7 linked regions of the Macaca mulatta genome follow. The protein of the gene in region 1 binds, or shares a complex with, the protein of each later gene. Links are inferred from orthologs where the notes say so. Each region holds a gene or a part of one and is shown in the gene's direction. Other genes may lie near its edges. The genes, in order: TCTN1, TMEM107, CEP290, B9D2, TMEM216, TMEM231 and AHI1.

Region 1 (3,500 bases):
GAACCTAAAGCACTTTTTATTTTTTACATTAGCATGCATAAGTTGTATCATTTTACTAAGCACATAGAAGAGTTCTCAATTAGAAGCACTCTAAACTTTAGGGGGAAAGCTTTTGTGTCTTAGACTAAGAAATTATCGTGTATTAACAAAACCTTCCCCTTCACCTCACACATTTTTTTCCAGAGTGCATTATACCTTTTATGGGGTACTTTTTCTTTTCTTTTTTTTTTATCACCCAGGCTGGAGTGCAGTGGCGCAGTCTCAGCTCACTGCAACCTCCACCTCCCAGGTTCAAGCAATTCTCCTGTCTCAGCCTCCCAAGTAGTTGGGATTACAGCTGTGCGCCACCATGCCTAATTTTTTTGGTATTTTTAGTAGAGATGGAGTTTTACCATGTTGGCCAGGCTGGTCTCGAACTCCTAACCTCAGGGGATCCACCCTTTTCAGCCTTCCAGAATGCTAGGATTACAGGCGTGAGCTATGGGATATATTTTTCTTTTGTTTTCTTTTTTCTTTCTTTCTTTTTTTTTGGGGAGGGGATGGAGTCTTGCTCTGTCGCCCAGGCTGGAGTGCAGTGGCACGATCTCGGCTCACTGCAACCTCTGCCTCCTGAGTTCAGGTGATTCTTCTGCCTCAGCCTCCTGAGTAGCTGGGACTACAGGTGTATGCCACCATGCCTGGCTAATTTTTGTATTTTCAGTAGAGATGGGGTTTTACCATATTGGCCAGGCTGGTCTCAACCTCCTGAGGTTGAGACTATGTCTGGCTGCTCTGGGGTACATTTTTCTAAAGCTCCTTTTTATCGTGAAATAATTCATACGTACAAAAAAGAATGTTGGGTGGACACTAGCAGCATTTGCTTCAGATTCCTTTTTCGTTATTTTTGTTTTTTGGCTTGAGTTTCTTTTTTTTTTTTTTTTTTAAGATGGAGTCTCACTCTGTCATCCAGGCTGGAGTGCAGTGGTGTGATCTCAGTTTACTGTAACCTCTGCCTTTTGGGTTCAAGTGATTCTCCTGCCTCAGCCTCCCTGAGTAGCTGGGATTACAGGTGCCCACCACCATGCCTGGCTAATTTTTGTATTTTTAAGACAGACAGGGTTTAACCATGTTGGCCAGGGTAGTCTCAAACTCCTGACCTCAAGTGATCTGCCCGCCTCCCAGAGTGCTGGAATTACAGGTGTAAGCCACCATGCCTGGCCTTGAAATCTTCTTTTGAAAAAGAAAACATTACAGATATGATTGAAGGTTGATCTTACTTCTTCCCTTCCAGCAATAATTGCAACCATAAATTCATTCTCTATTTTTTTAAAAGGGCTTTCTCTTCCTTATTTGACAGAATAAAATAGAGAATTGAAAATCCAGATAATCATTTTTGTTACAAAGCGGCAAAGAAAAATCATCCTTATTAATAATTAAAAGTTGGCCAGGAGCGGTGGCTCACGCCTGTAATCCCAGCACTTTGGGCAGCTGAGGCCAGTGGATCACTTGAGGTCAGGAGTTCGAGACCAGCCTGGCCAACATGGTGAAACCCCATCTCTACTAAAAATACAAAAAAAAAAAAAAAAAAAGCCGGGCATGGTAGTGCATGCCTGTAATCCCAGCTACTCAGGAGGCTGAGGCAGGAGAATAGCTTGAACCCAGGAGGCGGAGGTTGTAGTGAGCCAAGACTGCACCATTGCACTCCAGCCTGGGCAACAAGAGCTGAAACTCCTTTAAAAATAAAATAAAATAAAAGTTGTGACGTGGGGGAGATTCCTACCCTGCCCTCAAACCTTATTGTCTAAATCACCAAAGACATTCTGAGCACCTGAGCCGTTATGATTCTTGGCCAAGAATCTGTGAATATGAGTTCAGCTTTAAAGCAGCAGGTTATACATGAAGAGAGGGGCAAGGTTGAAAAACCTCTTTCCTGAAGGTTTAAGTGGGCCCTTCCTCTGACTCGTAATCTCCGGAGAAGAGGCTTAAGGACTTTGGAGTTTTAAACTGGTGGTTCTATGGTCAGGCAAATGGTTTAGGCGTGCTGGTTCTTAAACTTGTCTAATTATAAGTATCACCTGGAAAGTTTCTGAAAGCTGCAAATGCCTGGGTTTCGTATTCAGCTTATCAAATCAGCATCTCTGTAGGCAAAGCACTAACAGAACTTTCCAAGCGAGTCAGATCATTAGCAACTTTGGGGAAACCTCTAATTGTGGAATGCTCAAACTGACTCATTTCCACTTCACAAATTTCCCCCAAAATGCAATAGGAAAAATAAAATGGACCCTTTGTATGAAATTGACTTATGGTACACTGTGGTGGCAGGGGGCAGTCACCACCTGCTGATGGTGATGCTCTGGATCCTACCCCTCTTTTTTGTGCAGTTGCTGCTCTGTGTGTCTGTGACTTGTCCCCAGCACAGTGTGACGTCAACTGCTGCTGTGATCCTGACTGCAGCTCTGTGGATTTCAGTGTCTTTTCTGCCTGCTCAGTTCCAGTTGTCACGTAAGTTTACGTATGACACATGCAATTTTGATAAAATTTGACCAGGATAATACAATTTGGGGAAAGGGAAAACTTTCCCAGGCTTAAAAACCCAAACCTGATTTCCGGTGTTTTGCATCGTTCTGAAGCCATACTATCCAAACAAATATGTAAAAAAGTAGCTGTCCCTGGCCAGGTGCGGTGGCTCACACTGTAATCCCAGCACTTTTGGGAGGCTGAGGTGGGTGGATCACCAGATCAGGAGATTGAGACCATTCTGGCTATCACAGTGAAACCCCGTCTCTACTAAAAATCCAAACAAATTAGCCAGGCGTGGTGGCGGGCACCTGTCCCAGCTACTGGGGAGGCTGAGGCAGGAGAATGGTGTGAACCCGGGAGGCGGAGCTTGCAGTGAGCGGAGATCTCGCCACTGCACTCCAGCCTGGGCGACAGAGTGAGACTCGTCTCAAAAAAAAAAAGTAGCTGTCCCTTATCTGCATTCAACCAGGTGACTGTGCGGGCAAAAGAGAAGAGAGAATGTACATTAAAAGATTGTAATGAAACCTCTTTGTTTAGAGATTGAATCACATTTCAATTTGAGTTGTAAACAGACAGTGGTCACATTTTTTGTATCAGTGAATTAGTATAGCCTAGGGTGAAAAGTGCAGTTTAATTTCACAGCTTTTGTTGTGGACATAGTACTTGTAACAAAAAATTAGATAAGAAATCTTTTGTACTTTTCTGATATGTAAATCTACCAGGAATTCTCACAGTTCGCATTGTATAGAACAATGAAAAATGACATTCCCAGCTGATTATAAGGTAAAGAAATAATCTGTTCTGAATGATCTCTTATAATTGAGATTTCAAGCCTTTTTTTTTTTTTTTTTAATGAGGTGGAGTCTCGCTCTGTCGCCCAGAGTGGAGTGCAGTGGTGCGATAGTGGCTCACTGCAACCTCTGCCTCCTGGCTTCAAGCAGTTCTCCTTTCTCAGCCTCCCGAGCAGCTGGGACCATAGGTGCACGCCACAATACCTGGCA
Region 2 (4,033 bases), on another chromosome or scaffold:
GCCTCCCAAAGCGCTGGGATTACAGGCGTGAGCCACTGTGCCTGGCCCGCGTATCCCTGTTTGTAGCACCTATTATCTTACGGATTTATTTGTTTGCATGTCTGTTGTTGATCTCCCTGACTAGAATACTATTACTAGGTAATAAATAAATATATAAAAATATTTGTTGAAGGAATGAGAAATGCCTCTTGGGCTTGTACTTTAGTCTGGCTAAAGGCACTGAGACGTCGAGTGGGAAGTAGGAAGATATTGTTCTCCTGGGAAATGGGCCGGGAGTTTCCTTGAGGATGGGACTTGACTGAGCAATTAGAGAAGAACTTTCAGATCTGCAGGGACCTGCGCTGAGGCCCAAAGGTCATGACGTCGCCGGTGATAAGAGCTTCCTGGACTGTAGCTGGGCAATGTCGGAGGTCCAGCACCTCCAAGAGATAAAGAAATCTAAGTTGAGTTTCCCTTCCCGTAGGCTCCAAGCCTCCCAGAGACGCAGGGACTGTACCATTCCCTTCGTCCACTCCCACCTTTCCAGCCACCTTGCTTTGCTCTTATTCCCACGCTAGTTTAAGGACGCTGACCACTTTTTGCACTCTGCAAATCCTTCACCAAACTGAGCAAAGTAGTCTGAGAGAAATCAGTCTTCCTCAAGGAAGGTTCAGGCCTAGGGTCCTCAGACAACCAGGGGCTCTGTGACAATCTGTAACTGCCGAGCAGTCCAGGAACACCGGCCTCTCCACGTTCGGGTCCCTTGTTTCTCAGGCCCAGCTTGGTGGGAAGTTAAAGGCATGAGGAGAGGAGGAAGGGGAGCGGGTGTGAGTCTTCGGCATGGCGGGGACCTCAGCCCGGCGTGGCGGTGGGAGTGATCTCAAGTGATCCACAACTGGGCAGCGTAGCTGGGGCTGGGGGCCGCTCCCGGCGTGGGCAACCGCGGAAGCAGAGGTGTCCCCAGGCTAGGCCAGGGTGGGTTTCCGTTCGTCGGCCCTGCGTGGGCAGATCGGGCGCTGCGGGGCTGTGCCACCCCTCACCCTCTGAGAAACAAAGGGCCTGGCTGCGCACGGGTACCCAGCCATTGGGTTAGAAGCTCCTTCGGGTACCCCTGACCTGAGTTAGCCCTGAAAGACCCACAGCAGATGGAGAATGTACTGCTCTCGCGAGGTTTTCCGAGAACGCGGCAGCACGCCCGCGTACGCGGTTACCAAGGCAACTGGGCGGTGCCTGAGCTGGCGGAAAGGAGGAGTTCGTCTAGATTTGTCCGCTTGCTGGTGGACTTGCGGGAGTCGCAGTCTCTGAACTTCCAGCCTCAGAGACCGCCGCTCTTGTTCCCAAGGGCCATGGGCCGGGTCTCAGGGCTTGTGCCCTCTCGCTTCCTGACGCTCCTGGCGCATCTGGTGGTCGTCATCACTTTATTCTGGTCCCGGGTAAGACCCACGGCTGCCCTCCGTCCGCCCCCATTCCCATCTCGGAGTCGTCCCCGCCCCACCCTGCCCCTCTCCCAGTGTCTTACCCACTTGGGTTTTCTCGTGTTCCGCCGTCCCTAGGCCTGCCCAGCAGCCTGCCCCTTTTTCACTTCTCTTCCTCTCTGCCCTGCTCCCAGGACAGCAACATTCAGGCCTGCCTGCCTCTCAGGTTCACCCCCGAGGAGTATGACAAGCAGGACATTCAGTGAGCTCTTGGGACGGGGTGGCCAGAACGAAGAGGTGGTGGGAGTGGAGGGGTCTTAGAAGAAGTCCAAAGGCCTGGGCCAGTCCACTTCCTCTCTGCAGGCTGGTGGCCGCGCTTTCTGTCACCCTGGGCCTCTTTGCAGTGGAGCTGGCCGGTTTCCTCTCAGGAGTCTCCATGTTCAACAGCACCCAGAGCCTCATCTGTATCCTTTCTGCCTGCCCACCTTTCCCACACGACCCATTTCTATCAGGACTCCCTTCAGCCACCTGACACAATAGTGTCTGCTGTAGCCAGTCTCTCCAGTTCAAAGATCTTCAACCATGTGCTAAATCCTGCTGTTTACTAGGCACTTAAAATTCCGAAATGAGAGTAAAATACAGTTTTTGGCCAGGCACGTTGGCTCACGTCTGTAATCCCAGCACTGTGGGAGGCCCGCGCAGGAGGCAACATAGTTAGACCCCGTGTCTACAAAATAAATAGTAATAATAAAAACTCCACTTTTTTTTTTTTTAACCATGAGGAGGTAGATACACATCTGTAATTCAGTGTGATAAGCAGTGTGCTATGGGAGTGTGTAAAGATAGCACAGGCAGGGTGCGATGGCTCACGCCTGTAATGCCAGCACTTTGGGAGACCGAGGCAGGTGGATCACCTGAGGTCAGGAGTTCAAGACCAGCCTGACCAACATAGTGAAACCCTGTCTGTACTAAAAATACAGAAATTAGTCGGGCGTGGCGGTGCACTCCTGTAATCCCAGCTACTCAGGAGGCTGAGGAAGGAGAATTGCTTGAACCCAGGAGGCAGAGGTTGCAGTGAGCCGAGATCGTGCCACTGCACTCCAGCCTGGGCGACAGAGCAAGACTCTGGCAAAAAACGAAAGATATAAAGCACATTGGGAACTCAGAAGAGGCAACGGAAGCCAGGCACATGGGTCAGAGAATTGTGGACCAGGAGGACCAGGACACTGGAGGCTGATTCCAGCGCATATCAAGTCGCTGTCAGCACTCCTGTGTGGCATAGCAGGAGAGCCTACTCTTACCTCTCATCTGAAGGATCCAGGCTGGCCCCTAGATATGGAGTAGGGTAGCCTGAGATCCCATCTGCGCAGTCACTTCTGGTCTCTCCTCACATGACTGTCCTAAAATTCAGAAGTCGGGGATGCTGACTCTAGCCCTTGCAATATGGTGAGGGAGCAAACGATGAACCTGAATGCAGATGCCAACCCCACCACTGGCCTTTGGCCTTTTCTGACCCCTCACTATCTGTCGATCCAAAGACTTTCCTTAACTGTGGTGCCTTCTCAAGCCATTGGGGCTCACTGTAGTGCATCCGTGGCCCTGTCCTTCTTCATATTCGAGCGTTGGGAGTGCACTACGTATTGGTACATTTTTGTCTTCTGCAGGTGTGGTAGCATCCAATATTCGGGAATGAGGGAGGAAGGCTGACCCTAAACCTGAGGGTTTTTCCCCTACCCAGCCCTTTCCTCTATGTGGGAGATACCAGATCCACTTAACATCCTGTAGTCTTTTGAATTTTCATTCCCTACCCCATGCCACCTGTCCTACACTTTCAGGGGTGGGGTCTCTGGTTTGGAGATTTGGGTATTTATATTGAACGGGTTTCTGAATCTACCACTTGCCTCGGTAGTGCCCTTCCAGCTGTCACTGAAATGACTTTATTCGTCACCGTCTTTGGGCTGAAAAAGAAGCCTTTCTGAGCACCTTCATGACGGGAACCTAAGGACGAAGGCTACAGGGGCAAGGGCCGCTTCGTATTCCTGGAAGAAGGAAGGCATAGGCTTCGGTCCTCCCCTCGGAAACTGCTTCTGCTGGAGGATATGTGTTGGAATAATTACGTCTTGAGTCTGGGATTATCCGCATTGTATTTAGTGGTTTGTAATAAAATATGTTTTGTAGTAAGATTAAGACATATACAGTTTTCAGGGCACAATTGAAATGGCGAAACTACTGAAGAAAAAAAAAGAAGCAACGTTATTTTCTAGTTCTGCAGACCGTAAGATACTTGGTATCGCTTCTATTTTGGTTATTACGGTAGTTGTCTGGCGGAAGGGAGTGGGCGGAGATATGTAAATAGAAAGTGCTTACAGTTAGAACGTCCAGCACGTAAATGATCGGAGCATTCTGGGAAAAAGAAATTTATTCCTTTTCGGCAGCCGAACGAAAAAATTCTTTTAAAAATGTGCAAGCAAATATGGCAATACAACTGGAAGGATGCTAAGTAGTAGGGTTACTTATACCAACGCGTCGTGAACTCACCCTAGCTGTAAACGGAATCTTTTTGACTGAGTGCGGAATGTCGGCTATTTAGAAATATCGTCAGGTGGGATAATCCTTACCTGTTCCTCTTTTGGAGGGCA
Region 3 (3,500 bases), about 22 Mb from region 1:
ACTTCACATCTGCCTTTCTCTGTGATCTTACACAAGTTACTTCACCTCTCTGAGTTTGTATTTTTTTCCACAAAAGGAAAATAATTACAGTATCTTCAATGTGTTGTGAGGATTACATAAGAAAATATATATAAAATGCCTGTTATGTGCCTGATGTCTTTGTATATATGTCTGACATAAATTGTCTTTCTTTTTAGTTTCATGAAGAAAGACAACTGGCCTGGGATCAAAGAGAAGTTGACCTGGAACGTCAACTAGACATTTTTGACCGTCAGCAAAATGAAATACTAAATGCAGCACAAAAGGTATGAATGATGAATCTTGTTTGCTACTCTGTAGCATAGACTAGAGGGTTAGCTCACAGAAATGATTCCTGTATCAGATGTAATTTTAATTGGTTGTTATATTGTCTATTTAAAATATGAGTGATTTAATCTATATTTTATCATACAGCTATAAATATTAATAGTTACTCTCAATGCTGCCACTGCTTTGTTAAAAAACATACTATTTGTTAATAGTTTGAAGAAGCTACAGGATCAATCCCTGACCCTAGTTTGCCCCTTCCAAATCAACTTGAGATGGCGCTAAGAAAAATTAAGGAGAATATTCGAATAATCCTAGAAACACGGGCAACTTGCAGATCACTAGAAGAGGTAATTAGAAGAATTTGCATTTTGATTATTACTTGGTATTATTTGGTATGTTTGGGGGGCTTTCTAAATAATATTTCTTTATGAGGACAATGCATAGAATGATGAATCTCTTGCTAATTTCACTGTTTTTCTATTCTCCTATAATGTTTCTAATAGCTGATAATGAACAGCAGATATAGTTAATTTGAATTCACTATTTAATTACTTCCTGTTACCTTTAGGTACACTGAATATGAAAGGAAACAAAAAGCATTTAATTGTAGCTCTATGAGCAGTATATTATCTTCCCTTATATGATCTCTTTATTCTTATTTTTTTGGTTTTCCTTTGAAGTGCATGTTATATAATCTATGAATCAGTTTTCAGTTCATTCCCTTTTATAAACTTCAGCCCTTTAAAGGGCTGAAGGTAAATTAGAAATTACTTTCTGTTTTAACCTAGTTCTTGAATTTGATTAGTAGGTGATCAAATCTGTCATCTGCATTAAATTATTCAGAAAATAATGTAAACTGAATATGATTTTCATTTTAGTTTTCATCTAAATATATTAACTACAAATACATTTAAAAATATACATAAAGGAGTTTTCAAGTAAAACTGTACATTTTTAAGTAAAACTTAGATCTTCTTCAGTAATTGTAAGATTTGTCATTTATGTGAATTGCCATTGAATTACTTAATTTAAAATACCCACCTTAATCCTCTTGAAGAGTAAAAATGTTTCTGATTTTTTCTCTTTTGTTTTAATAAGCTGCAGATTTTATAATAGTAATTTATTGACTTGGGCCACTAAAATTCCAGTTTTGTACTTAACTGACTTATAGATTAGTCTTCTAATGCTCTGCTAGTCAATGGACCAAAATAAAAGAAATAATTTATTACATATTCTTCCTAAATCTCATACCACCACACTTTTATAGTTCTTAACTGTAATATCTTGATAAAGTACCTTAATTAAATTTTATTTTCATCATAACAATGAAGTTTCTAACATATGTAATATTCTTATAAATAAGCATGCAAATAACTGTTGTCAATTAGAATTAGTTTAACCTTATTAAATATCAAATGGCTATTGTACATATGATGTGAAAAATAAAGTGAATTTTTTTTTTTTTTTGCTAATAACTAATCTAAAATTCAGATGAAGGAAAAAAAGATACTTTAATTATCTATTGTGATTTAATCATTGCAGAAACTGAAAGAGAAAGAATCTGCTTTAAGGTTAGCAGAACAAAATATACTGTCAAGAGACAAAGTAATCAATGAACTGAGGCTTCGATTGCCTGCCACTGCAGAAAGAGAAAAGCTCATAGCTGAGCTAGGGAGAAAAGAGATGGAACCAAAATCTCACCACACTTTGAAAATTGCTCATCAAACCATTGCAAACATGCAAGCAAGGTTAAATCAAAAAGAAGAAGTATTAAAGAAGTATCAACATCTTCTAGAAAAAGCCAGAGAGGTATTTTATTATGAGTTATACTGTTTCATGTATTAGTTTTTTTAAGCAAATGCTAAATATTTTACCTTAAAGTGGTAGTTATTTTCTTGCTTTCAAATGATTCTATTTAAGAACTGTGACTTGCATGTGATTGGATTACACCTCTATCAGTAAAACTGGCAGTTTGTGTAAATGTATCTCTCTTATACACTGACTAACTAAACCAGGAGTAGCTATCATGGTGAAATCACATGATTTTGAAAAATATTTTAATTTAGTTTATAGGTGAGGGTTGAGGCAATAGGGGGGAATGAAATATATCACACTGGTAATCAGTAGAAATCAGATTTGTTAGAACTTTGTGGGGGAAAGCTGACATTTAATTTTTTCTAGAAATAAGTTAAAAGATGATAGATACGTGTTATTCTAATGTTCAGAATAAATTATGAACTGAGGCTGGGCCTGTCAACTTGAACACTGTGCGAGGGAACATGCCTACCGGTCTAAATACATACATATATGGAGATACTGTTTCTTCCTCATCTCGAAGGAATTTTAGAAGATTAAAGAGAAAATATATAAGGTCTTCAAAATGTGAATTTATTTTAATCACAATTTAAGATATAGTTTTGATTTTCTTTAAAACAGGAGCAAAGAGAAATTGTGAAGAAACATGAGGAAGACCTTCATATTCTTCATCACAAATTAGAACTACAGGCTGATAGTTCACTAAATAAATTCAAACAAACAGCTTGGGTAAGATTCTAAGAACTTTGTTCCATTCTTTATTGATTTTTAGACCAAATACATTAAAATTCAGTTATCTTCTCCTTTTTTGGAATACAAGTTACGCTTTTTGTTGCCAAAGTAATCTTCTGAAAATGTAGCTCTGATCATTCTTCCTCCTGTAGCTCATCACTGTTCACAAAATTATATTTATACTCCTTACCCATATACTCAATCTTCTATGAACTTACCTGCCTTTCTTTTCAAATTCTATTCACTATAAGTTTACCTATATTTAACTTCCGGAATTCAGCTCATATTTGCCTCTTTTGACCATTCTGTTCCATATGTATGAAATGATGTGTCTTTCATCTTTTAATGTATAACCTTAGCATATTTGAGCCTTACTTCATTAATTCAGTCAACATTTATTGATCTCCTGCTACATGTAGACACTTTGTTAGCTATTGTAAATACAAAGAATAAGGTCTATATTTCCTGTCTTCTTTAAGCCTTCATTATCTGTTAAATCATTAAATTTTAGATTAGATATTGTATTTTGATCATTTGAAGAACCAATTTAAAAATATAGAATAAGTATGGCATTGAAATATACATGCCTGTTTGCTAATATATTCATATTTTATAGGATTTAATGAAACAGTCTCCCACTCCAG
Region 4 (4,143 bases), on another chromosome or scaffold:
AGTAAGCTGAGATCGCGCCACTGCACTCCAGCCTGGGCGACAAGGCGAGGTTCCATCTCAAAAAAAAGAAAAAAAAAAACTAACAAAAATCCAAAATTATAAGGAGGGGGCAACATTTCAGTAGGATAACATTTATATTAAACAATTCACTGGAATATTTCACTAGTTGATATATGCATTATTTTGTTATTTTTGTAGAGATGGGGGTCTCACTATACTCGACCTTCTGGCCTCAACAGCTCTTCCCGCCTCAGCCTTCCAAAGGGCTGGGATTACAGTCATGAGCCTAGCCAAGGGTGGCTTTTAAATACTCGTGTCTATTGGCCTGGCTGGGTGGCTCAGGTCTGTAATCCCGGCAGTATGGGAGAGCAAACTGGGAGGCTAGCTAGAGCCCAGGAGGTCAAGACAAAGGCTGGGCAACACAGCAACACAGCAGGACTCCATCTCTTAAAAAAAAAAAAAAAAAGAATTAGCCAGCCGTGGTGGCGCATGTGTGTGATGCCAGCTACATGGGAGGCTGAGGTAGGAGGATCCCTTGAACCCAGGAGTTCAGAGGCTGCAGTGAGCTGTGATCAAGCCACCGTACTCCAGCCTGGGTTACACAGTGCGACCCTTTTATGGAGTCTTGATGGGACCTGATGACTGGCTTGATGTGGGAAATGATGGCATCTATGATGGCATCCAGGGACATCTCCATTTCTTGATTGAGAAATCAATCAATAGAAAAGAGGATTTTCTGCAAATAAGGGGATCCCAGTTCCTCATTTCTCTTCGCTACCCCAACGGTTCCTTGCTCAGACTCAAGCAGTTTAACAGTGAACTTGGTAGTAGCTTGGTAGAAGTTGGGTAAGTCCAACTTCCTTCCTTGTCCTTGAAAAACCTAGGGGAACTCTAAAACGGAAGCAGAACCCACTCCCCAATTTCTCCACTCTCTGTGAATGAGGAGTGATTTTTTTTGCTTTGTTTTCCAGTTATGAGGTAGGGGATGTACATGAGGTCCTGGAAGGAATTCCTCCTTGGTCATAGTTCAGTCTCTGATTTGTGATCCCGGACCATAGAGAGCTCTTCGGTGGGGTCCTCACGCAGCACGGAGCAGTTACGGATTTGCTTTTTTTGGTAAAGAGGACATCTGGGAGAAACTGCACTCAAACTTCCTCAGCCACACTCAACATGGCAGCTTCCTAGCCACGGCCAAAATGGCGGAACCCTTTGCCGTAGCTGGAGAGACGCTATTTTCCCAAAATGGAGCGAGAGGAGGAAAATGTCCATCACAGTTTCACCCCGCCTCCCGGGGACGGCTAACACCAATCAGTGGCGCGGAGGGCGAGTACAAAGCCAGGGGAGGAGCCTGCTGTTGCTCCAGCAACAACCACGGAACCCAAGGCGAGCGCGGACGCGGAATATCGCGGATTCCATTTCTCGCAGCCGGGAAGGTCCTGGGAAAGGCGCGAGCCAGGCCTGGTAGGCGCCCGCGGAGAAAAAAACGAGTCAACTCAACCCCATGAACTACAACCCCCGTTGCCGCTTTCGCCCCTCCTAACCGTTAAGTGCGCTAAGGTAGGAATAACGCATGCGCTGCGCTTGGAGGCGTGGCTAAGTCGGCCCGGAACTCAACGCATGCGCCTTATAGAGCTTGCTGGGTGAGGGAAGCGGGGTGGCTGACATGACGCGGAAGGCGGGTCTTTTCGCTCGTGGGCGGGGCTTTCCGCTGACCTGAACCCAAAGAAGGTATTTTAGACCTCGCAGAGTTAAATGCTGGTTCCCCCCAGACAAGGGTCCCCCCATTTTTTCCAGGCTTTCATGGGTTGGCAATTAGGATCTGTGGTCAAGACCTCAGCCTCAGGGGTGTGAGGAAGCTAGCTTGGAATCCTAGTACTACCCTTTACTTGCTGGGCCTCAGTTTCCCCTCCTGTCAAATGGAGATAATATACTTACCTCACAGGGTTGTGATTATATTTTTTCCCATCCCAGGGCCATGGCTGAGGTGCACGTGATCGGGCAGATCATGGGGGCCAGCGGTTTCTCGGAAAGTAGCCTGTTCTGCAAGTGGGGCATTCACACAGGTATTCCCCCAGGCCTGGTTAATTTCCACACCAAGACCCCTAGCCTAGAGGCTGCATGCTCCTTCCTCGACCTGTTAACGCAGCGCCTTAACCTCATCTTCCATCAGCTCTCTGTACTCCAGGCTTAGCCCACACCCTGTCCACGTGAGTCTCAAGCTCCCATCTGTTTTTTCGTTTGTGCAGGGGCTACGGACAGGGTCTCTCTCTGTCGCCCAGGCTGGAGTAAGGTGGTGTGATCATAGCTCACTGCAGCCTCGAACTCTTGGGCTCTAGTGATCCTCCCACCTCAGCCTCCTGAGAAGCTGGGCCTACAGGCACGCACCACCAAGTGTGGCTAATTTTTAAACTTTTTGTAGAGACAGGGTCTCGCTATGTTGCCCAGGCTGGTCTCAAACTCCTGGGCTCAAGCAGTCCATCCGCTTCAGCCTCTCAAAGTGCTTGGATTAAAAACATGAGCCACCACATCCCAGGAAAGTAATTTTGTTCATGCTTCCCCAACTGAGGCCCTGTAGAGTCATGGTATAGTGTAATGGTTAGGGCCATGGGCTGCCAGATCTGGATTTAAATACTAACTCTCCCTTCTATTAATTGGAGACCTTTGGACTTGACCTCTCTGAGCCTCAGTTTCCTTGTCTGAAAGTGAAGCTAATAGCAGCCAAGAAGCAGCACAGGTTTGAGGTTAAGAGCACAGACTGCCTGGGTTCAAAACTAGTTATTGCTTGTTAATGCACTCTTGGGCTGATTATGTGACCTTGGGCACTTCTCTTCACCTCGACTTCTCTGTTTGTACAATGAGAGTAATAGAAATATTTACCTGTTGAAGTTGTCATGAGTACTAAACAAATATCAACAGCACTTAGAATAGGAATAGGGCTGGAATATGAAGTGCCCATTCAGTGTTTGCCTGGCTCATACAAGACTTTGATGGGGTCTTGTTTGTAAAGCCTGGGGTATGTGGTTGCCTGGCACAGATAAATGTCCATGAAACAGATGTGGCCATTTGGCATTATCATGTCTTCAGGCCTGAGTCTTAGTCCCTTTTTTTTTTTTTTGAGATGGAGTCTCTCTCTGTTGCCCAGACTGGAGTGCAGTGGCGCAATCTTGGCTCACTTCAAGCTCTACCTCCCAGGTTCACGCCATTCTCCTGCCTCAGGCTCCCATGTAGCTGGGACTATAGGCACCCGCCACCATGCCCGGCTAGTTTTTTTTGTATTTTTAGTAGACAGGATTTCACTGTGTTAGCCAGGATAGTCTCGATCTTCTGATCTCGTGATCCACCTGTCTCGGCCTCCCAAAGTGCTGGGAGTACAGGCGTGAGCCACCGCGCCTGGCCGTTTTTTTTTTTTTGAGACAGAGTCTCACTCTGTCGCCAGGCTGGAGTGCAGTGGCACAATCTCGGCTTACTGCAATCTCTGCCTCCTGGGTTCAAGTGATTCTCCTGCCTCAGCCTCCCGAGTAGCTGGGATTACAGGCGTCCACCACCACACCCAGCTAATTTTTGTATTTTTAGTAGAGATGGTGTTTCATCATGTTGGCCAGGCTGGTCTCGAACTCCTGGCCTTAAGTGATCCGCCCGCCTAGATCTCCCAAAGTGCTGGGAGTACAGGTGTGAGCCACTGCCCCTGGCCTCTGGTCCTTTTTGATTCTACAGGTAAGTGAGGTAGAAGTTGAGATTCCCAGGAAATCAGGACCCTCCAGTTGATGGAAGAGAGGCAGACTCTGGAGTCAGACTTGGTTTCCAGGTTCCACGCCACCACTCACCTTCTCTGTGACCCTGGGCAGATGCCATCCCCTCTTAGAACCTCAGTTTCCTCATCTGTTCTTCATAGGGCTGTTGGGAAATCTTGCTTTTAAGCAGCCTGACTGAGGGCCTGGTGCTTCCCTCACTCAGCCCAGAAGGGAGTAATGACTAACCTGATTTTTATTACTTCAGGGAGTTGCTGGGGGTGTTGACCCAGCCAAGAATACTGAGGCAGTTGGATGAACGGCTTGGGCTCTGCAGTTAGAGCTGAGTCTGAATCCAGTTCCATGATGGGACCTTGGTCTGCTATAGTCACAGCTATGTCACCAGCATGGAAAA
Region 5 (4,125 bases), on another chromosome or scaffold:
AGATGGTGAAACCCCGTCCCTACTAAAAATACAAAAAAATATTAGCTGGGTGTGGTGGGGGGCACCTGTAATCTCAGCTATTTGGGAGGCTGAGACTGGAGAATCACTTGAACCCAGGAGGTGGAGCTTGCAGTGACCAGAGATAGCGCCATTGCACTCCAGCCTGGGTGACAAGAGCAAAACTCCGTCTCAAAAATAAAATTAAATAAATAAAATAAAGCCTAGTCACCTTCCTCAGGTTACCTGGTTGGAGCGTGCCATCTGTTTCCGGCTTTACCCTGATTGACAACGGGCTAACAGCCAAGTCAAGTCAACCTGAGTCCTCTCAAAACCCTTCTTTTTGCACTTCCCCGCCTGCAGCAACACGTTTTTGTTTGTTTTTTTGTTTGTTTTGAGACAGAGTCTCACTGTCGCCCAGGCTGGAGTGTGGTGGCGCAATCTCGGCTCACTGCAACCTCCGCCTCCTGGGTTCGAGCGATTCTCCTACCTCAGCCTCCCAAGTAGCTGGAACTACTGGCGCGCGCCGCTACGTCTGGCTAATTTTTGTATTTTTAGTAGAGACGGGGTTTCGCCATGTTGGCCAGGCTGGTTTCGAACTCCTGACCTCAGGTGATCCATCGCATCGGCCTCCCAAAGTGCTGGGATTACAGGCGTGAGCCACTAAGCCCGGCCAGCAACACGCTCTTACCGCTGCAAACCCGAATCAGGCAGGCTTTGAAGCCCAGCTCACATTTTGAAGCCCGTCTCTTGGAAACTGACTTAGATTTCCACCTGGGAGCACTTTGTCCTCTCAGCTCCCACTGCACCACTTTAGGGATCGCGTGGTGACTCGTTTCAGTTTATTTACGTGTGCTCCTGGAAAGGACGCTCTATTTCCCTAGTGTCTCTACCTGGTAGGTAAATAGGCCGCAGAAAAGACCAATGCTAACTCCCATCCCGCATTTGCAGAGATCCGTCGCTCACACCGTTTCTCGTCTTCCGTCGAAAAATGGGAATCGTGGGAGTAGGACCTATTTGCCAGTCTCCTGGTAACATTGTCACAACTGGCCACTTCCGCCCAACGCCCGGTAGCCCAAGGGCCTCCAGGGTCCTACCCCACAACCCCGAGCTCCTGCAGACGACGGCGTCGTGGGCGGTCACTGTTTTCCCTTAGGTCTGGAGAGGGGACATCCGAGCGAGGGCCACTTGCGGCCTGGCCCGAGCTCGTCCCGCTCCGGGTGACCACAGAGTGCCGCGGGCGGGCAGAGGGGCCGGAAACCCCGGCCGCTCAGTCCCTGTTTCCGGCAGCGGCGCGCTGCTCCGGGAGCAGCTGTGGCAGCGTACGCAGTTTCCACGGGGACTGAAGATGGCGCCGCGAGGTGAGATTCCGGAGGTGTGTGAGTCGCTGGTCCCTTTCCCTTTGATCCCTCCCTCGCACCTCTGTCCCAGAGCTTGACCTAAACCCTCCATTCTGTAGCGTTAGGGACATCGCGCCTCCCTGGTCCAAAGCGGGCTTCCGCGGACCCGCCCACCCTGGGTCCCTGAAGGTTTCAAGGTGCGTGGGTCAAATAGCCGCAGATCCTTGGCTGGGCCACTTCTAGGATGGCTCAGGTACGAATCTGTTGGTCTCCACGCCCCAACTTCCCCTCCCAAATAGTGACAGGGTGAGATCTTTGAGATGTCTGTCAGCTGCGAGTTACCTCTTAACTTTTACTCCTGAAGCCGAAGAGTCGAGTTTCGCGGTGATTCCTGGGAAACGAGTGAAGCCTCCTCCACATCCACCCCGTACCCTCATTATCAGCAACCAGAAGTGCCCCTGGGTGGCCGGTCCCATTAGTTGCGGCGTCTGGTTTCCCCAGTTAGACACCAACCCATAGGAGCAGAGAGGGAGCTGCCTTCCTGCCCATCCCACTTTTCTGTGCTGCTGTTTCAGGTAAACGGTTGTCCTCCACCCCGCTGGAAATCCTGTTCTTTCTGAACGCGTGGTATAATGCTACCTATTTCTTGCTGGAACTTTTCATATTTCTGTATAAAGGTAAGGAAGGCATGGGGCTTGACGACAGCACCCCTTCCCCACTTCAGCTCAGAGCCAACTCCGACCAAGAACCTTCTTATTTTCCGCTCTTTTCTGCCCCCTGCGGTTCTTTGTCGCTGCAAGGCAGGCCTCCTCATCAGATGGCTTCTTTGAGTATGAGTATGGCATCCCCTCAGCAAGAATTTCTTGAGTTTGGGAAATGTGGGCTTCTCCATTCTGACTCTGCCCACATCACTGGTCTTTGCTGAGCTCCACTGTAAGCCCATTGATGACCCTTAGAAACTATTCAGTGGCCCGTGTACCCATGTGCATCCACTCATTCTGGAGAGAGGAGTCCCCAGAGTCTTTTGGAGTTAGGAGTAAAATGGCATAATAATGAGCCTGGGTTGCACTGTGAGTTTATGTATCCTGCAGCTGTAATAATGCCCACATTTCACTAGCTCATGGAAAGCTGAGACTGATGTCCTTGAGACTGATGTCTCAAGTGTGTGGCAGTTCTTGTGGATGCTGTTTTATGCTATTTGCAAACACTGGCTTTTGTATTCGCAGGTGTTCTGCTACCATATCCAACAGCTAACCTAGTACTGGATGTGGTGATGCTCCTCCTTTATCTTGGAATTGAAGTAATTCGCCTGTTTTTTGGTGAGTGTTGTCCAGAGAATATTTCCACTCTTTATGAGACAAGCTGGTATCTCTAACTTGATTAACAAGAAAAGTACATCACCTAGGTTGACTATCAGAGACTGGATCTGTATATCCCATTACTCCCTCTCTGAAGTTTCAAGTTGCTGCTTCATACATTGGGGTCAGGATTTACCTGTTTGTTGCTCTGTAAGGCTAGAGATGGGCAATAGAATGTGATATTAGATGATTCCTTCCCAGCTGCCTAACAGCAAAAGGAGTGCCTGGTTCTTCTCACTAGTATTCTTGGGGGAGCAGGTTCAGTTGTAGCTCCATGTCAGGGCAGGCAGCATATCCTGCACAGATCAGTACTAAGATCCCTAACAATACTCTGAATAAGGATCTCTGTAGGATTTTTTTTTTTTTTTTGAGATGGAGTCTCTCTCTATCGCCAGGCTGGAGTGCAGTGGCACGATCTCGGATCACTGCAGCCTCTGCCTCCCGGGATCAAGCGATTCTTCTGCCTCAGCCTGCCGAGTAGGTGGGACTACAGGCGTTCACCACTGCTCCCAGCTAATTTTTGTATTTTTAGTAGAGACGGGGTTTCACCATATTGGCCAGGATGGTCTCCATCCCTTGACCTTGTCATCCGCCTGCCTTAGCCTCCCAAAGTGGTGGGATTACCACTGCACCTGGCCGGATTTTTGTTTTTTTTTTGGAGACAGAGTCTCACTGTGTCTGCCAGGCTGGAGTGCAGTGGCACGATCTCGGCTCACTGCAACCTCCGCCTCCCGGGTTCAAGCGATTCTCCTGTCTCAGACTCTTGAGTAGCTGGGACTGCAGGCGCCCACCACCATGCCTGGCAAGTTTTTGTATTTTTAGTAGAGATGGAGTTTCACCATGTTGGCTATGATAGTCTCGATCTCCTGACCTCATGATCTACCTGTCTTGGCCTCCCAAAGTGCTGGGATTATAGGTGTGAGCCATCACACCTGACCGGATTTTGTTTTTTAAACATTTACTTATTTGAGACAGGATCTCATTCTGTCACCTAGGCTGGAGTACAGTGGTACGATCATAACGCACAGCAGCCTTGAAGCCCTGGGCTCAAGCAGTCCTCCAACTTCAGCCTCCTGAGTAGCTGGGACCACAGGCATGCAACATCATGCCTGGCTCATTTTGTGTTTTTTGTAGAGACAGTGTCTTGCCTCATTGCCCAGGCTGGTCTGAAACTCCTGGCCTCAAGCAATCCTCCCGCCTTGGCCTCCCCAAGGTGCTGGGATTACAGGCGTGAGCCAACATGCTTGCCCTGTAGGACAAGTTTTATAATCCCAGAAATACAGAGCAAAACCCTTATTTGTTAGAATATGTCATCCCTGAAATAAATGGTTTTTTTTTTTTTTTTTTGAGACGGAGTCTTGCTCTGTCGCCCAGGCTGGAGTGCAGTGGCCGGATCTCAGCTCACTGCAAGCTCTGCCTCCCGGGTTTAC
Region 6 (4,175 bases), on another chromosome or scaffold:
TTGGCCTCCCAAAGTGTTGAGATTACAGGCATGTGCCACTGCGCCCAGCCATTCAGGGCCATTTGATGAAGAACTTGGCTGTGGACCATAGTTGTTTTTTTTAAAGTCCTTCTACCATGTTCGAAATATGGTTGGGGGCGGTGGGGGGTGTAAGCATTCAATTAAGCAATATGCCAGTGATCTCTGGGGAGGACCACAGCTTCCTATAAAACTCGCCGCTGAGCTTGTACCCAACACAGGGTTAACAAAGTGCATCAGAGCTTTGTAATATTCCACTCTATCCCTCCAAGAGCCAGGGGATTTGTGTTTCCGTGTCTTGTCTTGCATTGGAGCATAGTGGAAGCAAGAGAAAATCTGGGAGCAAAGACACCTGGCTTTGGTCTTAGCCCAGGACCAGGTCCAGGACCGCGGCCAGGCTTGTGACTGAGTGGATTTCAGTAGGAACTACACTGGGGATTAACAGATGACACAAAAGCAGGTGTTTGTTGTGTGCAGGAGCGCGAGGGGAGAAGAAAAGGCACACACACAATACCTTTAAGGGTAAGCAAGCTTTATCCCACGTAAATGGCAATGCAGATATTATAATAAGCAAATTAATATAATAAGCAGATTGATATAAGCAAATTGCAATGGGAAGAGGAGAAGGAAAAAGACATATATATATTTACACTCATCAGACTATGGAGGATTCACCTCCAGACTGGGAAGCAAGAGCCTGAGCTCCAGAGCCGGCCACTCTTCAGTCAGTGCCCAGATGAGAAGAGGTGTCATGAAGCTTTGGGTGGTCTGGGATCCTAGCTCTTTTTGTAACATGTTGTCTGACATGAGGCCCAGTCACGAGGGCCCTTCGTGGCTGGGCTCAAGGAACACAAAAAGGTCAACTTGTTTTTGTGATTGTTGTTTTTCAATAACTAACGTATAGGAATAGAACGAAATAGAGATTTCTGCGAAACAGCGCTGGATGAACGCCTCAAGGGGCTCCCACAACCTGTTTCGGAACTTGGTGACCATTGTTTGTGTCCATGTCAGTTCAAATTTAAATATTTAATTTTTCCTCCTCAGTGTTCAAGTCAACTTTTATGGGCATCTTATTTTACACAAATGTTAACACAGACAACAGCCACGACTTTGGTCCACGGAAACGTTCTATCGCCGCCCAGCCTTTACGCAAAGGGACACAGCTTGAAAAGCTAGGCCGGCAGTCCCCGGCGGCGCCACGCCCGCTAACCCCGCCCTCGCCGCTGGCTCCTTTCGGTCTGGCCTTGCTATTGGCTCCTTTCCGGGAGCCGTCGGTTGCCGTGGAGACCGAGGCGATGGCAACCAGGAGAAGCCAAACTTGGTCCTCCGGCTCGCGGCGTGCCGGCGCGCGGTGCTCATGGCGCTCTACGATCTCTTCTCTCACCCGGTCGAGCGCAGCTACCGCGCGGGACTCTGCTCCAAAGCCGCGCTGTTCCTGCTGCTGGCCGCTGCGCTCACGTACATCCCGCCGTTGCTGGTGGCCTTCCGGAGCCACGGTGAGCCTGCCCCAGCCGCTGTGTCACGCGACTCCCCGGGCGCGCTCGGCCGGGGCCGGCCTCCCTGACGGCCTCCCCACCTTCTTTAATTCAGGGTTTTGGCTGAAGAGGAGCAGCTACGAGGAGCAGCCGACCGTGCGCTTCCAACACCAGGTGCTGCTCGTGGCCCTGCTGGGACCCGAGAGCGGCGGGTTCCTCGCTTGGAGCACGTTCCCCGCTTTCAACCGGCTGCAGGGGGATCGCCTGCGCGTCCCGCTCGTTTCGGTGCGTGGTTCCCGCCTGGGCCTGGGGCAAAGCGGGCGGTGGGGTGGGGACGGGGACGGGAATGAGGATGTGGGGCGAGCGGCCCCGGCCCTGGGGAACCCAGCTTGGATCCTAAGGACTCGCGAACCCGCAAAGGTGGCGTTTCATCTCCTGGGACCTAGGGAATCGATTTTCTGTTTCATTCTGCTTCTCCCAGACGTCCCCGGCCCCCAGAAAGTTAGCCACGCTGTCAGCATATGCGCCCTGATACAGAGTCCAGAGGTGTGGAGGCAGCCTGCGTCTGCCCCCGTCACACCCGCGGGCCTGGCCTGATGGAGGGTGTTTGTGAAAGTCCATTTAGGAGCCTTGAAGGCAGCGCGCTGTTAATGTAGGTAACCCCATTCTGTCGCGGCGTTTCTGCATCACACCACTGTAGGAGCGGAAAGGGCGGCATTTTTATGGAGCCCTGACCCCTGGAAACCAAGGCGCTGATTGGTTAAGCGGCCTTCCCAGAACGCGCTATGGCCGAGTCACGCCTCCCTGGGTTTGTCCCATTGGAGACTGCGTCATCCTGAAGCTGTCGGGATGAAATTGAAGCATGTTACTGTCTGTAGTTTATTTATTTATTTTTAAATTTTTCATCAGTAGAGTGCTGAGAGGAATCTGTAATTTAGTATTTGCTTTGAGATAAGCGAATGCTTCCTTTATAGTCACTCCTTTTCACTCATTTTCTGAAAACGTTTTCCTTTAGAAGTATGACACTTACGGTTTTCCTTCTTTCAAAGTTGAATCTCTTCAGACATCTCTAAGATGATTGCCCTACAAGCCAACCTTGTATAGCTGAGGAGAAAAGAAAATCAGACTTGTTCCCAGCAACTAAATAAAATTGTTTTTAAAAATCCGATTGGGCCGGGCGCGGTGGCTCACGCCTGTAATCCCAGCACTTCGGGAGGCCGAGGCGGGCGGATCACGAGGTCAGGAGATCGAAACCATCCTGGCTAACACGGTGAAACCCCGTCTCTACTAAAAATACAAAAAATTACCAGGCGCGGTGGCGGGCACCTGTAGTCCCAGTTACTCAGGAAGCTGAGGCGGGAGAATGGCGTGAACCCGGGAGGCGGAGCTTGCAGTGAGCCGAGATCGCGCAAGTGCACTCCAGCCTGGGCGACAGAGCGAGACTCTGTCTCAAAAAAATAATAATAATAAATAGAAATAAATTTTTAAAATCCAATTGGTCATATAAATAACTGCAAAAAAAAAAAAGAATAGTAATAGGTTGGCGCAAAAATAATTGCGGCTTTTGCCATTAAAAGTAGTGGCAAAAAAACCGGAATTACTTTTGCAACAACCTAATATGATTCAGGTTACTTTTCTCCTGTTACTTTACGAATGTTCTTATGTTCTGATTACAAAAGTGCATGCTCATTCTAAAATAATATAGAGTTACAGGTAGATATAATGACCAAAATTGAAGGCCCAGTTTTGTATATGTATCAATACTTATTAATCAGCCATATTCTTTTTGAGGTTTGTTTTGACTTTTTCACTATTGGGGACAACATTTCTTTTTTTCTTTCTTTCTTTTTCTTCTTTTTTTTTTTTGAGACGGAGTCTTGCTCTGTTGTCCAGGCTGGAGTGCAGTGCTGCAATCTCTGCTCACTGCAACCTCCACCTCCTGGGTTCAAGCAATTCTCGTGCCTTAGCCTCCCGAGTAGCTGGGATTACAGGCTAATTTTTGGATTTTTAGTAGAGAAGGGGTTTCACCATGTTGGCCAGGTTAGTCTCGAACTCCTGACCTCAGGTGATCCACCCGCCTTGGTCTCCCAAAGTGCTGGCATCACAGGTGTCAGCCACCGTGCCTGGCCTAGGGACAATATTTCTGTGAACAAGGTTTTGACTAAATCGTATGCCTTTAAACATCAGATTGTGAGGAATTGGAATAGCAGCTCTTTGATGAAATTAGGTAAGTACATAGAAAACTAAGCAAATCATTATTAACTGCAGGGAAATGAAAAGTAAGGAAAACTGAGAACTGAAAACTTATGAGAGTTGTGAATAGGATTTACATAGTCTTAATTATATGAACACTGAATGTTGACTAAAAAGAGATTTTAACTCTGTTGGGGGTAATGAGAAAGGTATTGAGAATGTGATAGGGGATGGTGGGAGGAGTTGGGGGAGAGAAGAAGCTAAATCATCTTTCCTTGTGGGAACTCAATAGAGAATGCCTAAAACTGAGAAATTGAGAATTTTCAATGCAAATGTTATCTCAAGACCTGGAGATACATTTCTAAATGATCAAGTAAATGAGATAAAAATATTTGCAGCTAGATATGATAGCTCACACCTGTAATCCTAGCACTTTGCAAGGCCAAGGCAGGAGGATTGCTTAAGCCCTGGAGTTCAAGGCCAGTGTGG
Region 7 (3,500 bases), on another chromosome or scaffold:
GAAGACCATGAGAGTCGCTAAAAACAAATCGAGGAACACACAGTCAGCAACTGAAAATCCTAATGATGATGTTAGTGTAGAGGAAGACAAACAAGGAAAGCCAAATAAAAAGGTGGTAAAGACGGTGTCCCAGTTGACTACACAAGATATGAAACTGGAAACTCCTGAGAAGGAAGTTGATTCTACACACCAGAAAGCGCGTACAAAGCCACAGCCAGGCCTTGATCATCAGAAAAGTGAGAAGGCAAATGAGGGAAGAGAAGAGAATGATTTAGAAGAGGACGAAGAACTGATGCAAGCATATCAGCGCCATGTAACTGAAGAAATGGCAAAGGAGATTAAGAAGAAAATAAGAAAAAAACTGAAAGAACAGTTGACTTACTTTCCCTCAGATACTTTATTCCATGACGACAAATCAATCAGTGAAAAAAGGAAAAAGAAAAAGAAAGTTCCAGCCTTCTCTAAAGCTGAAACAAGGTATTTTTACATTGATAAATGTAAAATATCCTCTTAGAAAAACACTCTATTATTATCAGGGTTTGAATATTATCTGTGGTTTAACAAAGAAAATTCTTAGGCTTTTATTTGGAGACATTGCCACTAAGATAAGAACACCTAGCTTTTACTAACACCTTACTATGTACTAGGTGCTTTACGAGAATTAACTCATTTATTTCTTATGACAATCTTATGAGGAAAAGTAATATTCTTCCTATCTTGCTGATGAGGAAACTGAAGTACAGAACTAGTAAGAGGCTGAGCCAGAACCTTGTCTCTATCCTGAACTACTCACTTACATCTGCTTTCTTTTTTTTTTTTTTTAATTTATTTATTATTATTATACTTTAAGTTGTAGGGTACATGTGCATAACGTGCAGGTTTGTTACATATGTATACTTGTGCCATGTTGGTGTGCTGCACCCATCAACTCGTCATTTACATCAGGTATAACTCCCAATGCAATCCCTCCCCCCTTCCCCTCCCCATGATAGGCCCCGGTGTGTGATGTTCCCCTTCCTGAGTCCAAGTGATCTCATTGTTCAGTTCCCACCTATGAGTGAGAACATGCAGTGTTTGGTTTTCTGTTCTTGTGATAGTTTGCTAAGAATGATGGTTTCCAGCTGCATCCATGTCCCTACAAAGGACACAAACTCATCCTTTTTTATGGCTGCATAGTATTCCATGGTGTATATGTGCCACATTTTCTTAATCCAATCTGTCACTGATGGACATTTGGGTTGATTCCAAGTCTTTGCTATTGTGAATAGTGCTGCAATAAACATACGTGTGCATGTGTCTTTATAGCAGCATAATTTATAATCCTTTGGGTATATACCCAGTAATGGGATGGCTGGGTCTTATGGTACATCTAGTTCTAGATCCTTGAGGAATCGCCATACTGTTTTCCATAATGGTTGAACTAGTTTACAATCCCACCAACAGTGTAAAAGTGTTCCTATTTCTCCACATCCTCTCCAGCACCTGTTGTTTCCTGACTTTGTAATGATCGCCATTCTAACTGGTGTGAGATGGTATCTCATTGTGGTTTTGATTTGCATTTCTCTGATGGCCAGTGATGATGAGCATTTCTTCATGTGTCTGTTGGCTGTATGAATGTCTTCTTTTGAGAAATGTCTGTTCATATCCTTTGCCCACTTTTCGATGGGGTTGTTTGTTTTTTTCTTGTAAATTTGTTTGAGTTCTTTGTAGGTTCTGGATATTAGCCCTTTGTCAGATGAGTAGATTGCAAAAATTTTCTCCCATTCTGTAGGTTGCCTGTTCACTCTGATGGTAGTTTCTTTTGCTGTGCAGAAGCTCTTTAGTTTAATGAGATCCCATTTGTCAATTTTGGCTTTTGCTGCCGTTGCTTTTGGTGTTTTAGACATGAAGTCTTTGCCCATGCCTATGTCCTGAATGGTACTACCTAGGTTTTCCTCTAGGATTTTTATGGTGTTAGGTCTAACATTTAAGTCTCTAATCCATCTTGAATTAATTTTTGTATAAGGAGTAAGGAAAGGATCCAGTTTCAGCTTTCTACTTATGGCTAGCCAATTTTCCCAGCACCATTTATTAAATAGGGAATCCTTTCCCCATTTCTTGTTTCTCTCAGGTTTGTCAAAGATCAGATGGCTGTAGATGTGTGGTATTATTTCTGAGGACTCTGTTCTGTTCCATTGGTCTATATCTCTGTTTTGGTACCAGTACCATGCTGTTTTGGTTACTGTAGCCTTGTAGTATAGTTTGAAGTCAGGTAGCGTGATGCCTCCAGCTTTGTTCTTTTGACTTAGGATTGTCTTGGAGATGTGGGCTCTTTTTTGGTTCCATATGAACTTTAAAGCAGTTTTTTCCAATTCTGTGAAGAAACTCATTGGTAGCTTGATGGGGATGGCATTGAATCTATAAATTACCTTGGGCAGTATGGCCATTTTCACGATATTGATTCTTCCTATCCATGAGCATGGTATGTTCTTCCATTTGTTTGTGTCCTCTTTTATTTCACTGAGCAGTGGTTTGTAGTTCTCCTTGAAGAGGTCCTTGACATCCCTTGTAAGTTGGATTCCTAGGTATTTTATTCTCTTTGAAGCAATTGTGAATGGAAGTTCATTCCTGATTTGGCTCTCTGTTTGTCTGTTACTGGTGTATAAGAATGCTTGTGATTTTTGCACATTAATTTTGTATCCTGAGACTTTGCTGAAGTTGCTTATCAGCTTAAGGAGATTTTGGGCTGAGACAATGGGGTTTTCTAAATATACAATCATGTCGTCTGCAAACAGGGACAATTTGACTTCTTCTTTTCCTAACTGAATACCCTTGATTTCTTTCTTTTGCCTAATTGCCCTAGCCAGAACTTCCAACACTATGTTGAATAGGAGTGGTGAGAGAGGGCATCCCTGTCTTGTGCCAGTTTTCAAAGGGAATTTTTCCAGTTTTTGCCCATTCAGTATGATATTGGCTGTGGGTTTGTCATAAATAGCTCTTATTATTTTGAGGTACGTTCCATCAATACCAAATTTATTGAGCGTTTTTAGCATGAAGGGCTGTTGAATTTTGTCAAAAGCCTTTTCTGCATCTATTGAGATAATCATGTAGTTCTTGTCTTTGGTTCTGTTTATATGCTGGATTATGTTCATTGATTTGCGAATGTTGAACCAGCCTTGCATCCCAGGGATGAAGCCCACTTGATCATGGTGGATAAGCTTTTTGATGTGTTGCTGAATCCGGTTTACCAGTATTTTATTGAGGATTTTTGCATCGATGTTCATCAGGGATATTGGTCTAAAATTCTCTTTTTTTGTTGTGTCTCTGCCAGGCTTTGGTATCAGGATGATGTTGGCCTCATAAAATGAGTTAGGGAGGATTCCCTCTTTTTCTATTGATTGGAATAGTTTCAGAAGGAATGGTACCAACTCCTCCTTGTACCTCTGGTAGAATTCAGCTGTGAATCCATCTGGTCCTGGACTTTTTTTGGTTGGTAGGCTATTAATTATTGCCTCAATTTC

The links.
Region 2: TCTN1 (region 1) and TMEM107 share a complex: the UniProt entries of both Homo sapiens proteins name them as parts of the tectonic-like complex. The link is inferred for Macaca mulatta from reciprocal best matches to the Homo sapiens genes TCTN1 and TMEM107.
Region 3: TCTN1 (region 1) and CEP290 share a complex: the UniProt entries of both Homo sapiens proteins name them as parts of the tectonic-like complex. The link is inferred for Macaca mulatta from reciprocal best matches to the Homo sapiens genes TCTN1 and CEP290.
Region 4: TCTN1 (region 1) and B9D2 share a complex: the UniProt entries of both Homo sapiens proteins name them as parts of the tectonic-like complex. The link is inferred for Macaca mulatta from reciprocal best matches to the Homo sapiens genes TCTN1 and B9D2.
Region 5: TCTN1 (region 1) and TMEM216 share a complex: the UniProt entries of both Homo sapiens proteins name them as parts of the tectonic-like complex. The link is inferred for Macaca mulatta from reciprocal best matches to the Homo sapiens genes TCTN1 and TMEM216.
Region 6: TCTN1 (region 1) and TMEM231 share a complex: the UniProt entries of both Homo sapiens proteins name them as parts of the tectonic-like complex. The link is inferred for Macaca mulatta from reciprocal best matches to the Homo sapiens genes TCTN1 and TMEM231.
Region 7: TCTN1 (region 1) and AHI1 share a complex: the UniProt entries of both Homo sapiens proteins name them as parts of the tectonic-like complex. The link is inferred for Macaca mulatta from reciprocal best matches to the Homo sapiens genes TCTN1 and AHI1.

Annotation. Positions count from the first base shown.
Region 1 is NC_133416.1:117,801,403-117,804,902, forward strand, and holds part of TCTN1 (tectonic-1), read left to right. Parts: intron 1-2,360; coding exon 2,361-2,481; intron 2,482-3,500. UniProt on the Homo sapiens protein: Component of the tectonic-like complex, a complex localized at the transition zone of primary cilia and acting as a barrier that prevents diffusion of transmembrane proteins between the cilia and plasma membranes.
Region 2 is NC_133421.1:9,692,387-9,696,419, reverse strand, and holds TMEM107 (transmembrane protein 107), read left to right. Parts: upstream 1-1,233; 5' UTR 1,234-1,325; coding exon 1,326-1,412; intron 1,413-1,588; coding exon 1,589-1,656; intron 1,657-1,739; coding exon of another isoform or gene 1,740-1,757; coding exon 1,758-1,858; intron 1,859-2,695; exon of another isoform or gene 2,696-2,794; intron 2,795-2,961; coding exon 2,962-3,058; intron 3,059-3,303; coding exon 3,304-3,373; 3' UTR 3,374-3,628; downstream 3,629-4,033. UniProt on the Homo sapiens protein: Plays a role in cilia formation and embryonic patterning. Requires for normal Sonic hedgehog (Shh) signaling in the neural tube and acts in combination with GLI2 and GLI3 to pattern ventral and intermediate neuronal cell types.
Region 3 is NC_133416.1:95,330,402-95,333,901, reverse strand, and holds part of CEP290 (centrosomal protein of 290 kDa), read left to right. Parts: intron 1-197; coding exon 198-305; intron 306-521; coding exon 522-656; intron 657-1,851; coding exon 1,852-2,118; intron 2,119-2,745; coding exon 2,746-2,853; intron 2,854-3,472; coding exon 3,473-3,500. UniProt on the Homo sapiens protein: Involved in early and late steps in cilia formation. Its association with CCP110 is required for inhibition of primary cilia formation by CCP110.
Region 4 is NC_133424.1:52,507,080-52,511,222, reverse strand, and holds the start of B9D2 (B9 domain-containing protein 2), read left to right. Parts: upstream 1-1,343; 5' UTR 1,344-1,557; intron 1,558-1,651; exon of another isoform or gene 1,652-1,728; intron 1,729-1,971; 5' UTR 1,972-1,975; coding exon 1,976-2,063; intron 2,064-4,143. UniProt on the Homo sapiens protein: Component of the tectonic-like complex, a complex localized at the transition zone of primary cilia and acting as a barrier that prevents diffusion of transmembrane proteins between the cilia and plasma membranes.
Region 5 is NC_133419.1:12,654,266-12,658,390, reverse strand, and holds the start of TMEM216 (transmembrane protein 216), read left to right. Parts: upstream 1-1,325; 5' UTR 1,326-1,345; coding exon 1,346-1,358; exon of another isoform or gene 1,359-1,372; intron 1,373-1,912; coding exon 1,913-2,014; intron 2,015-2,563; coding exon 2,564-2,656; intron 2,657-4,125. UniProt on the Homo sapiens protein: Part of the tectonic-like complex which is required for tissue-specific ciliogenesis and may regulate ciliary membrane composition.
Region 6 is NC_133425.1:70,906,483-70,910,657, reverse strand, and holds the start of TMEM231 (transmembrane protein 231), read left to right. Parts: upstream 1-1,375; coding exon 1,376-1,514; coding exon of another isoform or gene 1,515-1,608; coding exon 1,609-1,778; intron 1,779-4,175. UniProt on the Homo sapiens protein: Transmembrane component of the tectonic-like complex, a complex localized at the transition zone of primary cilia and acting as a barrier that prevents diffusion of transmembrane proteins between the cilia and plasma membranes.
Region 7 is NC_133409.1:40,570,889-40,574,388, reverse strand, and holds part of AHI1 (jouberin), read left to right. Parts: coding exon 1-477; intron 478-3,500. UniProt on the Homo sapiens protein: Involved in vesicle trafficking and required for ciliogenesis, formation of primary non-motile cilium, and recruitment of RAB8A to the basal body of primary cilium.